2 linked regions of the Macaca fascicularis genome follow. The protein of the gene in region 1 purifies or fractionates together with the protein of each later gene. This does not show direct contact. Links are inferred from orthologs where the notes say so. Each region holds a gene or a part of one and is shown in the gene's direction. Other genes may lie near its edges.

Region 1 (5,914 bases):
TTCTGCAATTATGAAACTATTTTATAACTGCACTGTTCAAAAAGTAGCCACTAGGCAATCTGTAGGCAACCACGCCCGGCTAATTTTTGTATTTTTAGTACATACGGGGTTTCGTCATGTTGGTCAGGCTTGTCTCGAAACTCCTGACCCCGTGATCTGCCCGCCTCGGCTTCCCAAAGTGCTGGGATTACAGGCATGAGCCACCGCGCCCAGCCTAGGAACTGAATTTTTAATTTTATTTCACTTTAATTACCCACAGCTGGCTGGTGGCTATAATACTGGACAGTGCAATTCTACATCTAACTACTGGTTTAGAGCAGTGGTCCCCAGCCTTTTTGGCACCAGGGACCTGTTTCACGGAAGAAAATTTTTCAACACGGACAGGGTGGAAATAAAAAATTTTGTAAATATCTTTTTGTTAACATTCATATGAAATGTTTTGGGGGAGGAATGGCCAAACCACTTTTTATTTGTTTATTTATTTTCTTTTTTTTGAGATCCAGTCTCACACTGTAGCCTGGTCTGGAGAGCAACGGTGTGATCTCAGCTCACTGCAACCTTCGCCTCCCGGATTCACGTGATTCTCCTGCCTCAGCCTCCCGAGTAGCTGGAATTACAGGCGCACACCACCACACCCGGCTAACTTTTTTGCATTTTTAGTAGAGACGGTGTTTCACTATGTTGGCCAGACTGGTCTCGAACTCCTGACCTCGTGATCCGCCCACGTCAGCCTCCCAAAGTGCTGGGATTACAGGCGTGAGCCACCGCACCCGGCCAACCACTTCTTCAGTAATATGAATAATACACATGGCAAGGGTTAGGGGCATGGTTTCATGATGAAACTGTTCCACCTCAGATCATGAGTCATTAGTCAGATTCTCATAAGCATGCAACCTAGATCCCTTGCATGCGCAGTTCACATTAGGGTTCATGCTCCTAGGAGAATCTAACCCCACAGCTGATCTGACAGGAGGCAGAGCTCAGTTGGTAGGTAATGCTCACTCGCCTGTCACTCACCTCCTGCTCTGTAACCTGGTTCCTAACAGGCCACGGACTGGTAGTGCTCTGCAGCCCCGGGTTTGGGGGCCCCTGGTTTAGAAGCCATAAAGGCAACAGAGATACCTGTTAAAGGATACTGTGCAATGTAATCTGCTAAATTTAGAACTGTAAGGAAAAATAGGGGCTAATCCCATAGCTATAGCTATGAGGGAACTGCTATAGATTAAAAGATGTCAAATATGCATCACCCAAACACAACAGGCAGATCCCTGTGGGATTTTGGTTCAAACAAGCTAACTGCAAAAAAGACATTTAAGAGAGAGTTGAAGAAATCGTAATCTGACTGGACATTGACATTAGAGAATTTTCATTAATTTGTGTATGTGTAATGACAGTAGTGTGGCTTTGCAAAACTGAAAGACCTAGCTCCTGACGGGGGCGGGCAGGGGACTAAAATAACATAAAGATCGGAAATTCAGTTCCTGAAACCTTGTGTCAATGTTGGCTTTAGCTGAATTCCAAATCAAGTTGACATTTTTTGAAAGCAGGAAGCAATGACAGAGTGGACTACTGATGCTGTCACCATCTGCCAGCACAACGTAAATTAGAACAGAAAGGACTAAGCAAAGGCATTCCACCTTTTAAAGAGAGAAAATGGCATCAGTACAATCAACATATACAATTTTTACAAACAACTTTTAGAGTTGCATCTACATACATTTTAAAAGGCAGTGTGCCTGTTTATAAATCTCTACCCCATTTTAGTTTCAGAGCCTTTTTTACTACCCTGATCACTGATCATGCCACAGTCAAAAGGCAATCTCAAAAATTAATCTAAAAATAGTACTGCATTCCAAATAAGAAAATATATATACTTTGTTTTACTATTAAGCTACAGCTAACAGAAATCTAATCAACGATCCTTGATTTTCTCTTACCTAAAAAATAAACGCAAGCACGTGAGGAACTGTATAAATACAGAGCATCTACCCTACAATACTGCTTTATAAAAGAATAAATTCTTTTAATAAGTTTAACCGGACATAAAGCTCAGGGAAAACTACTTTGTGCATATTAGTGTACGGTGCTTAAACTATACAAGATGACTAGTCTCTGACATCATACACATCTTTACTCTCCTGATGTCGTATACGACATAAAAAAAACCACATTATAAGCCTAAATGTACTGTCTTCAAGTATCTCCATGATTAAAGTGTTCCTAAGAAACCGTCCTTGTTTCTTTCTATCCCTGATCTGTGTGCATGGAGCAGTTAGTTCAGGGTTCTCCAATTTCAGTCCACGATTTCTGCCATAATTCCGTACCTGCTGTACTAAACATAACCGTTTACACCAACTCACTATTTTAAAAGCTGCCAACCTTAACATGCCACCCTAAATGAGCGGGTCCCCTTGTGCCGTGAATGAAGTAGTCCTAACAGCGCTAGCTAAACAGCAGCCCTGGCCGGGAGGCCGCACAGGGGTACCTCCGCTGAAAAGAAAGGTGGGTCCGCCGGGAAAGGTGAGTACTGGGCGCAGCTCGCCCGCCCACCTGGCTACTCTCCGAAGCGCCCCCAGCCACCCGGCCTCCGAGGAAACGCTGTGACCACCTGGCGGGGCCGAACCGCGCGCCGGGCTGCGCCATGCCGGACTACGCCGGTGTGCAGGGCATAGCGGGCCAGGCCGAGGGACGGGGCTCCGGGGCGGACGCGAGCCGGCGGGGAGGCGCCTGGTGGTTCGCAGACTGTTGCGCGAACCGGCCGCAAGCCATGAGGCCGCGAAGCCAGAGTCACCAAGGCAGCCTGGGCCGCCTCCGGACCAGGACGCGCTCGCCCCTTGCGCTTCCGTCTTGCGCACGGGCGGTTACACGGCTGCAGCAAGCGCATCCCTCAGCCTTCCCGCCGTTACCTCGGCCGTGCACTGCGCACGCGCGCCACCACTAAGCTTACGTCCAGCCTCAGCAGTCGGAGCGTTCGTTCCGCCCACTGCCCCCACACTTTTAATAATTGAATCAATGTCTGCTCCAGACTTCCCCTGCACGCGAGCAAATGGACTCACCCACATCCGGGAATCCGAGAAAGAGCGTGCAGACGCGTGATGCGGTGCGAGGCAGGAGGAAGCGTCTGCCGCGCTGGGCCGCGTAACGGTAAGGGTTTGCAGCGCCCCCGGCCTAGGTTTTGGAGGCGCGGGAATGCGTTCGTGGCTCAGTGTCGGACTTCCCCCTATTTCCATCGGCCGAGGCTGTCACTTTACGCTCATAACCGTTTTCTTTACTGCACGCTGTGTCGGGAGGAAAGGGACTTGCTTGGCACCCCAGACCTCCCCGTCTCCGCTTCCACGTTTGGTACATCCTGCGTCAGGCCGGAAGCCGCGGCTGAGGGGCGGCCTCTCGTACAGTGTGGTGGCCTGCGAGGCTCATTTCTAGCAAGGAACAATATTTTTCCCGCTTTGACCTTACAGATACATGTTTACAAAGCTATAATGTATAGAAATGGATAAGACATGTCCCTGTCCCGGGAAACGCAGGCACTGCGTGTCTGGAAAGACATACATCTGGGCTGTTTGACAGGCTACCTAGTTGGTGCCATGCTCTGTGCTTAGGGAACTATGAGATCCCCGGTGGGTACCGGGACCGCGCTCAGCCTGAGGTTTGGAGGCGGCCTCCTGCAGGAAGCGACTTGAGACCTGAGATTTTTAGACTGACTATGGGTTCGCTGGAATAAAAAGGAAGAAACAAACAGCATTGCAGGCATCGGGACTGTCACGTGTAAGAAAAGTTTGTTCAGGAAACAGTTGTCGTATTGTGTGACGAGTACTTGGGACGGTGGCTGTGCCTTGGGCGTTGATTATCTTGTTGCTTTCCATCCTTCCAGCCCCTTAAGAGTGAAGGCACCTTCACGCCTAACCCCGGAAATGGGATGTTGACCTCCAAGAGCTGACGCCTGCGTTGATCTTGAAAGGAAGAGTGGCATTAGTGATGTGGAAAGGGGGGTTTTAACTGTCAAGGCTGGAAAATGTGACAGGGTTTGAGGTGTTTGGAGAAGGGACAGGTGAAAAAGATTGAGGCCAAATTGTAGAAAGATCTACTAAGGAATCCTGGGTACAAAATGTACACATAACAGTTGGAGACAATAATACCTGAGCAATTGATCACAAAGCTTGTTTAGTAGATTTAAGTTAGGACAAGAAGCAAGAGTTCAAGGATAGAAGGCCTACTGAAGCTCGAGTGATCTGAGAAAACCTTACTAAAAGGTGGAAAACCTATGTGGGCCTGGGAAAGTCAGGTTTGGATCAGCTGAGGAAAGTGAAAAGGGTATCCCAGGAGACACAGCAGCAAGGACAAAGGAGTAGCAGCAGGAAAGTGGGGAGCTCTTATAAGACAGGGACTTCAAAAGTATAACCAAAACTTCGTCTTGCTTTGAGTTATCCACTGGGTAGTAGGGGGTTAATTATTGAGTACTGGATTAATTAAGCCCTCACCTGGCTCACCGGTGACAAGTAGCAGGGCGCGTTTTGCTTAAGTTTTGCCCAGATCTTTTAAACCCTTTCCTACACACCAATCTGTGTATAATTTTTGCCAAGGTGTTGGGGATATCTTGCAGTTATCCTATGGGGGACATCTGTGAGCCTTTTTTTTTTTTTTTTTTTTGAGACCAAGTCTTTTTTTTTTTTTTTTTTTTTTGAGACGGAGTCTTGCTCTGTCACCCAGGCTGGAGTGCAGTGGCCAGATCTCGGCTCATTGCAAGCTCCGCCTCCCGGGTTCATGCCATTCTCCTGCCTCAGCCTCCCGAATAGCTGGGACTACAGGTGCCTGCCACCACGCCCGGCTAATTTTTTGTGTTTTTAGTAGAGACGGGGTTTCACCGTGTTAGCCAGGATAGTCTCGATCTCCTGACCTCGTGATCCGCCCACCTCGGCCTCCCAAAGTGCTGGGATTACAGGCGTGAGCCACCGCGCCCGGCCATGTGAGCCATTTTTACAAAAACTTCCACCTGCCTTGGCCCAAACCTCAGCATTCTTAGGCACAGGAGCTCATGAACATACTGAGATAACACTAAAATGGACTATGGGAAGGGACCAACTACAGACCTGACACAAATCCTCAAGGCAAGACGATGTCTGAAGTTGACCTTGTAAAGGAAAAGGCTTCCTTCCTTAAAATAGCACCCAGGCTGAGCTCTGAAAAAAGCACCTCAAGATGGTGGGTTCCACCCCGCCCCCGCCAAAATTGCTTATTGTGTGAGTCTCCATAGTCTCAGAAACTGAGAATAACTGAGAGTACCTTTGATGCCAGTGGCTTCTGGGCTTTTTGGATTGTGACTTTGTAACAGGGAGCACCCATAGGATGACGCCTATGATGAATCAGGGCCCAACCTTGGAAACAGGGAATCCAAAAGTATCCTCCAAGCTAGCCAGCCTTTTGGATTAGAAAGCATACCACAGATAGGATGAAATTAAGCAAGGTTGTCTGCTTCTGAATTAAATAATTCATTAATTAAGGACCTATTTATTCTTTGTTATCTATAAGTAATTATTAAGACTGAACTTTCTTTTTAAGTTTAAGATAATATATTATTGCTTTACAATAAATGATAGCTCTTTTCAATATGTTCAAGTATGTTTGAATCTGTCTTGTAGAACAAGATGTATGTGATTCAAATATAGATAAGTAAATATCATTTAATATATATTGAGCATAATTTTAGAGGGGAAAACATGTTCACATACTACGAATTAGAATCCAGCGGAAAATTTTAAGTCTGGATATTGCATAACAGTTTGCTAAGCATAAAGCAAAACATAAATTAAGGTAATTGAAAAGAAATATATTGGTATCTGTGAACTCTGGTACAAAGCAGAGTTCAGTAGTAATACATTTAAATTTAAAATACAAGTAAATGATCCCAGATCCTACA
Region 2 (5,881 bases), on another chromosome or scaffold:
AGATGGCCTGAAGTAACTGAAGAAACACAAAAGAAGTGAAAATGGCTGTTCCTTCCTTTACTGATGACATGACCTTGTGAGATTCCTTCTCCTGGCTCAGAAGCTCCCCCACTGAGCACCTTGTGACCCCTGCCCCTGCCCGCCAGGGAACAACCCCCTTTAACTGTAATTTTTCACTACCTACCCAAGTCTTATAAAACGGCCCCACCCCTATCTCCCTTTGCTGACTCTGTTTTTGAACTCAGCCTGAGAGAAGACAGACAGACCTTCTCATATAGGTGTTTTTTTTTTTTTTTTGAGACGGAGTTTCACTCTTGTTGCCCAGGCTGGAGTGCAATGGCACGATCTTGACTCACCGCAACCTCCGCCTCCCAGGTTCAAGCAATTCTCCTGCCTCAGCCTCCCTAGTAGCTGGGATTATAGGCATGTGCTACTATGCCCAGCTAATTTTGTATTTTTAGTAGAGAAGGGGTTTCTCCATGTTGGTCAGGCTGGTCTTGAACTCCCGACCTCAGGTGATCCACCTGCCTTGGCATCCCAAAGTGCTGGGATTACAGGCATGAGCCACTGCGCCCAGCCTCTCATATGGTTTTATATTGTTTTAAACTCAGAAAAGGAAAGAAAAGCAAAACAAAAAGCAGGTAACCCGGCACCTAGGAACCAGACCAAAAACCAAGGAACCAGACCCAAAACCAGGCCTGGGCCTGCCTTACCTAAGCCTGGTAGTTAAAATTCGACCCCTGACCTAGCAACTAATGTTATCTATAGATTATAGAAAGACATTGTGAAACTTCCCGGTCTGTTCTGTTTCACTCTGACCACCAGTGCATGCAGCCCCTGTCACGTACCCGCTGCTTGCTCAATCGATCATGAGCCTCTCACATGGACCCCCTTAGAGTTGTGAGTCCTTAAAAGGGACAGGAATTGCTCACTTAGGGAGCTCAGCTCTTGACACAGGAGCCTTGCCAATGCTCCTGGCCGAATAAACTCCTTCCTTCTTTAATTTGGTGTCTGAGGAGTTTTGTCTGCGGCTCATCCTCCTACATGCCCACCTGTACCCAGGTGAAATAAACAGCCTTGTTGCTCACACAAAGCCTGTTTGGTGGTTTCTTCACACGGACGTGCGTGACAGTGGTGGCAGGTGCCTGTAATCCCAGCTTCTCAGGAAGCTGAGGCAGGGAGAATCACTTGAACCCGGGAGGCAGAGGTTGCAGTGAGCTGAGATTTTGAACTCCAACCTGGGCGACAAAAGCAAAACTCCATCTCAAAAAAAAAAGAAAAGTTCACAGTGATCATGCCTACCAAAATCACATCAAAGGTCTCATACATCCAGAAAACTAGAGTAGGGGATGAGATGGGAAAAGGATCACAGGAGCTTCAACTGTGACAAAATGTAAGAGCTGAAAAAGTTGACTGGTGAAGATATACCGTGATTTTTTCAGAGCATTTTTTTTTTTGCATCTGTTACTCTAAAAATCAAATGAAAACAAAATATAGACCAAAACAACTGTCTCCTTCAAGAAAGGAGCGAAAGGCTATATCTGAGAGGGTGATTGTGGAGGATATTGGGATTCTGATTCAAATACCTAAACTGCCTCATTGGCTCAGTTACCTCCCTGGTCTCTGTATACATTCGAGTTTGCGATCCATCACATTTAACCACTGGCGATCTGATTCCAAGTCAACCATTTAACAACCTGAGCACAAAATTTAAGCAGGCAGTTTCTTCCCTTGTGAGAAGGGAAAGACAACTTCAACTTTATGGATTGTTGTGAACGTCCAATAACTTGTGTAAAACTTTTGTAAAAAGTTAACTGTGCCAGACACATGCTGGTTTATATGGGTATCAGCTAATTCCTGGATCTAGTCTTTATTTCCACGGATTTAGGGAATCATTTTACATGGTAAAATACGCCCCTCGAATTAACAAGTTCATCCAGGGACAAAGCCTGACTTTAGCAGGAACACAAAACACCTGAGCAGGGAGGCGGCGGCCCCTGCCTGGTGCGCATGCGCGACTGTAAAAGCCGTTAGGTCTGTCCCTGGCGCCCGATTAGAATATTTAATTCCAGTTGGAGCGCTTTTCCTCACCTTACTATATTTTATTTCTGGTAAGTGCTCACACATTTTAATTTCTGAGAGGCCCAAATTCCTCTCAGACTCATTCAAATTGACCAAGTAGTCTTACTAAGGTGACTTTTGTCTCATTGTAAGTCCTCAGTAAATTTTGCAGTTTAGGATGATGACGTAATTTTTGCGTAAAAGTAACAACTCATTTCACCGGAAAGGGACCACGACAGGAGCAGGGACTCGAGTTTCTTTTTATTCGGGCACTTCAGTAGTTACCTTTTGCTTGGGGGCGGTGCCGCGTGTGGACCCGATGGACCCCGGCGACGCGGCCATTTTGGAGTCTTCCCTAAGGATCCCTTACCGGTTTTTCGAGACAGTGCTGCCGCCGCTGCCCGCGGCCTTGCAGGGCAGGATGAATGTGATAGACCACGTGCGGGACATGGCGGCCGCGGGGCTGCACTCCAACGTGCGGCTCCTCAGCAGCTTGTTACTTACAATGAGCAATAACAACCCGTGAGTTGAGGCGGGGAGCGGCCTGGGGCTGAGGAGAAAGCGGCAGTGGTCTGGGACCGGGGGCTCAGGGCACGCGGGAACAGGCGGGAAGGAGCGGCCTCCCGCACCAGCGGAGGCTCCGGCGTCTGCGAGGGCGTAGTGGAGCGGAGCAGACTTCGGAGCGCAAGTTGGGTTCACTGGGTGCCGGCGTCAAGTCCCTGCGGAGATGTGGCGAGCGGCGGCTTGGAGAAATAGAAGGCAGAGGCTCTGAGGACGACCCAGGCGAGGGTTTTCTGAGGCACCTGTCGCGGGGTAGCGCGACTGTCACATCGCTGGGCCGAATCCTCCCCTCTCGGCTCCTTCCAGAGAACGTTTTTTTCTCTCGCTGCAGCTCCGGGACCCAGCCTCCTGGTTTTTATGCTCTAGCCCCGCATCTGAGATTGGTCACCCCATTAAGTGTATCAGGAGGGTCCACTTTCTCGCCTTGGGAAACCCCTGAAAACGGGGCCGGGCGCGATGGCTCACGCCTCTAATACCAGCACTTTGGGAGGCCGAGGCGGGAGGATCGCTTGAGCCCAGGAGTTAAGACTAACCTGGGCAACATAGGGAGACCCTGCCTCTATGAAAAATAAAAATTAAACAATTAGCCGGGCGTGATTGTGCGTGCCTGAGTTCCCAGCTACTCGGGAGGCTGAAGCAGGAGGATTGCTTGAGCCCAGAAGGTCGAGGCTGCAGTGAGCCGTGATCGCATCACTGTCCTTTACCGTGTGCGACAGAACGACAGCCTGTCTCAAAAAAGAAACGGGAGATTCCATTAATGGGTGGGCGTGGCGCCTTTCTTGTTTCATTGAAGCACTGGGCTGATTCCATCCTTGAGTGTCCATCCTTAAGTACATGTCCCTCTCCTGCTTAAAATCCTTCACTGGCTGGTTGCAGTGGCTCAAGCCTGTAATCCCAGCACTTTGGGAGGCCGAGGCAGGCGGATCACGAGGTCAGGAGATCGAGATCATCCTGGCTAACACGGTGAAACCCTGTCTCTACTAAAAAAATACAAAAAAATTAGCCGGGTGTGGTGGCGGGCACCTGTAGTCCCAGCTACTGGGGAGGCTGAGGCAGAAGAATGGCGGGAACCCGGGAGGCAGAGCTTGCAGTGAGCCGAGATCGCGCCGCTGCACTCCAGTCTGGGCGACAGAGCGAGACTCCGTCTTAAAAAAAAAAAAAAATCATTTATTGCACTAATGAAAATTATTTCCCATGGCCTCCGAAAGGAACTATCTGCCCTTCACTCTCTGCTACTTCATCTCATTACTGTGTTCACTGCTCTCCAGCCTCTCTGGCTATTCTTTCTGTTATTTATTTATTTTTATTTATTTTTGTTTTTTTTTGAGACAGAGCCTTGCTCTGTCGCCCAGGCTGGATGGAGTTCAGTGGCGCGATCTCGGCTCACTGCAGCCTCCGCCTCCTGGGTTCAAGCGATTCTCCTGCCTCAGCTTCCCAAGTAGCTGGGATTACAGGCGAGCGCCACATGCCCAGGTAATTTTTGTAATTTTAGTAGAAACGGAGTTTCAATATATTGACCAGTCTGGTCTTGAACTCCTGACCTCAGGTGATCCCACCACCTCGGCCTCCCAAAATTTTGGGATTACAGGCGTGAGCCACCGCGCTTGGCCTCTTTGTGTTATTTGAATGTACCAAGCGTGTTCTCTGGGCCCTTGTACTTGCTGTTCCTGCTGCAACGGTCCTTATCTCAGCGCTGCCTCCTCCTTCAGGTTTTAGCCTGAACATCTCTCCTAGAGAACCTTCTCTGACTCCCAGGACTCTCAGGTACTCCCACTTTTCTACCCTTCGCATCGCCTAGCAATTGAAAGCACAGTGGATGTGCGCATTAAGCACTCACATGCTTATTGAGTGTGTTGAGGAAGTGAGTACAACTTCAGGGAGGTGAAATACCCTTGTCTGAGTTCACACATCTAATAAATGGAGGAGTACAATGTCTGGACCTGGTCTTCTCTGACTGGAGAGTCTCCATTCTGAGCCACCAGTCTGCTACCTCCAAATGGCATTATCATGGAAACTTCTACTCTGTAGATGTATTAGTGTTTGGCCTGCTATAGAAGCTGGTCTAGGTCAGAAGGGAAAGGTCCTTAAAGTGCTTACAATGCAGCTGCTGCTGCCCATTGGATTTTCATGAGTGTGCTTTGGTGTTTTGTTTTGCTTTTCAGTCAGAGTCTTGCTCTGTTGCCCAGGCTGGAGTGCAGTGGTGCGATCTTGGCTCACTACAGCCTCCACCTCCCAGGCTCAAGCGATCCTCCCACCTCAGCCTCCTGAGTAACAGGGATTACAGATTCGCACCACCACGCCTGGCTAATTTTTTTTTTTTTTTATAGAGATGGAGTTTTATCATGTTGACCAGGCTTGTCTCGAACTCCTGACCTCAAGTGATCCCCATGACTTAGGCCTCCCAAAGTGCTTGGATTACAGGCGTGAGCCACCGAGCCCGGCCTCATTAGTGTGCTTTGGACCTTACTAGTGAGACCCATCATTTTGCCACCATCCACTTCATGTTGACAGGAGCCCTGGTCTCTGTCAGCCTTCTGTGTTTATTCTGGAACCTTTCACTTGGTTCTTGGTTCTGAGTGATTTGTCAAAGCATAGTTTCCACGTTTGGAGATTTAGGCCCTACTTGCTCTTAGTTCTCAAAGATGTTACAGGAGAGTTTGAAACAGTTTAATTCTCTGGCTAGACTAAGTTTAGCCCATGCTTTTTCATGTTAGGTTAGATTGGCAGTTTCCTAGCTTTAGGACATGTTCAGGTTTCTGCCCTTCATGGTTTATACTTTAAAATTTCTTGTGGAATAGGCAGTAGACACTGTTAAATTCAAACAGTGGAGAAGGGGCATGCAGATCAGTATCTTTCCCTGAGTCTTGAACCTCACCCCACCATTTCCTTTCTCCAGAGGCAGTAACTATTTTTTCCTGTGTCATTACAGAGGTAACTTATGCATGTGTAAGTAGACATGTATGTTATATGAGTATCAGAATGCCTTCTGTGGGTGTAATAATACTTTTGTATCCAGGCATCAGATGGTTATTTCTCACTACATACATAGAATCACAGAGTTTGAAGAGAACTTAAGTCATCTAGACTATACTTTTTTGTTGTGTTGTTTTTTTTGGGGGGGAGACTGAGTCTCGCTCTGTCACCAAGGCTGGAGTGCGGTGGCGTGATCTCGGCTCACTGCAGCTTCCGCCTCCTGGGTTCAAGCAGTTTTCCCTCAGCCTTCCAAGTAGCTGGGTTTACAGGTGACCACCACCACGCC

Evidence for each region. The genes of interacting proteins can lie anywhere in the genome.
Region 2: the proteins of ANAPC13 (region 1) and ANAPC7 purify together in Homo sapiens (affinity purification with mass spectrometry; 3 studies listed by BioGRID and IntAct, counting the BioPlex papers as one, with this or other methods). This does not show direct contact. The link is inferred for Macaca fascicularis from reciprocal best matches to the Homo sapiens genes ANAPC13 and ANAPC7.

The regions. Positions count from the first base shown.
Region 1 is NC_088376.1:37,392,194-37,398,107, reverse strand, and holds the start of ANAPC13 (anaphase-promoting complex subunit 13), read left to right. Parts: upstream 1-2,413; 5' UTR 2,414-2,520; intron 2,521-2,550; coding exon of another isoform or gene 2,551-2,884; exon of another isoform or gene 2,885-3,056; coding exon of another isoform or gene 3,057-3,230; exon of another isoform or gene 3,231-3,765; intron 3,766-5,914. Other genes in the region: CEP63 (centrosomal protein of 63 kDa), read right to left, coding at 2,609-2,884. UniProt on the Homo sapiens protein: Component of the anaphase promoting complex/cyclosome (APC/C), a cell cycle-regulated E3 ubiquitin ligase that controls progression through mitosis and the G1 phase of the cell cycle.
Region 2 is NC_088385.1:117,272,972-117,278,852, reverse strand, and holds the start of ANAPC7 (anaphase-promoting complex subunit 7), read left to right. Parts: upstream 1-2,389; 5' UTR 2,390-2,482; coding exon 2,483-2,583; exon of another isoform or gene 2,584-3,383; intron 3,384-4,331; exon of another isoform or gene 4,332-4,386; intron 4,387-5,881. UniProt on the Homo sapiens protein: Component of the anaphase promoting complex/cyclosome (APC/C), a cell cycle-regulated E3 ubiquitin ligase that controls progression through mitosis and the G1 phase of the cell cycle.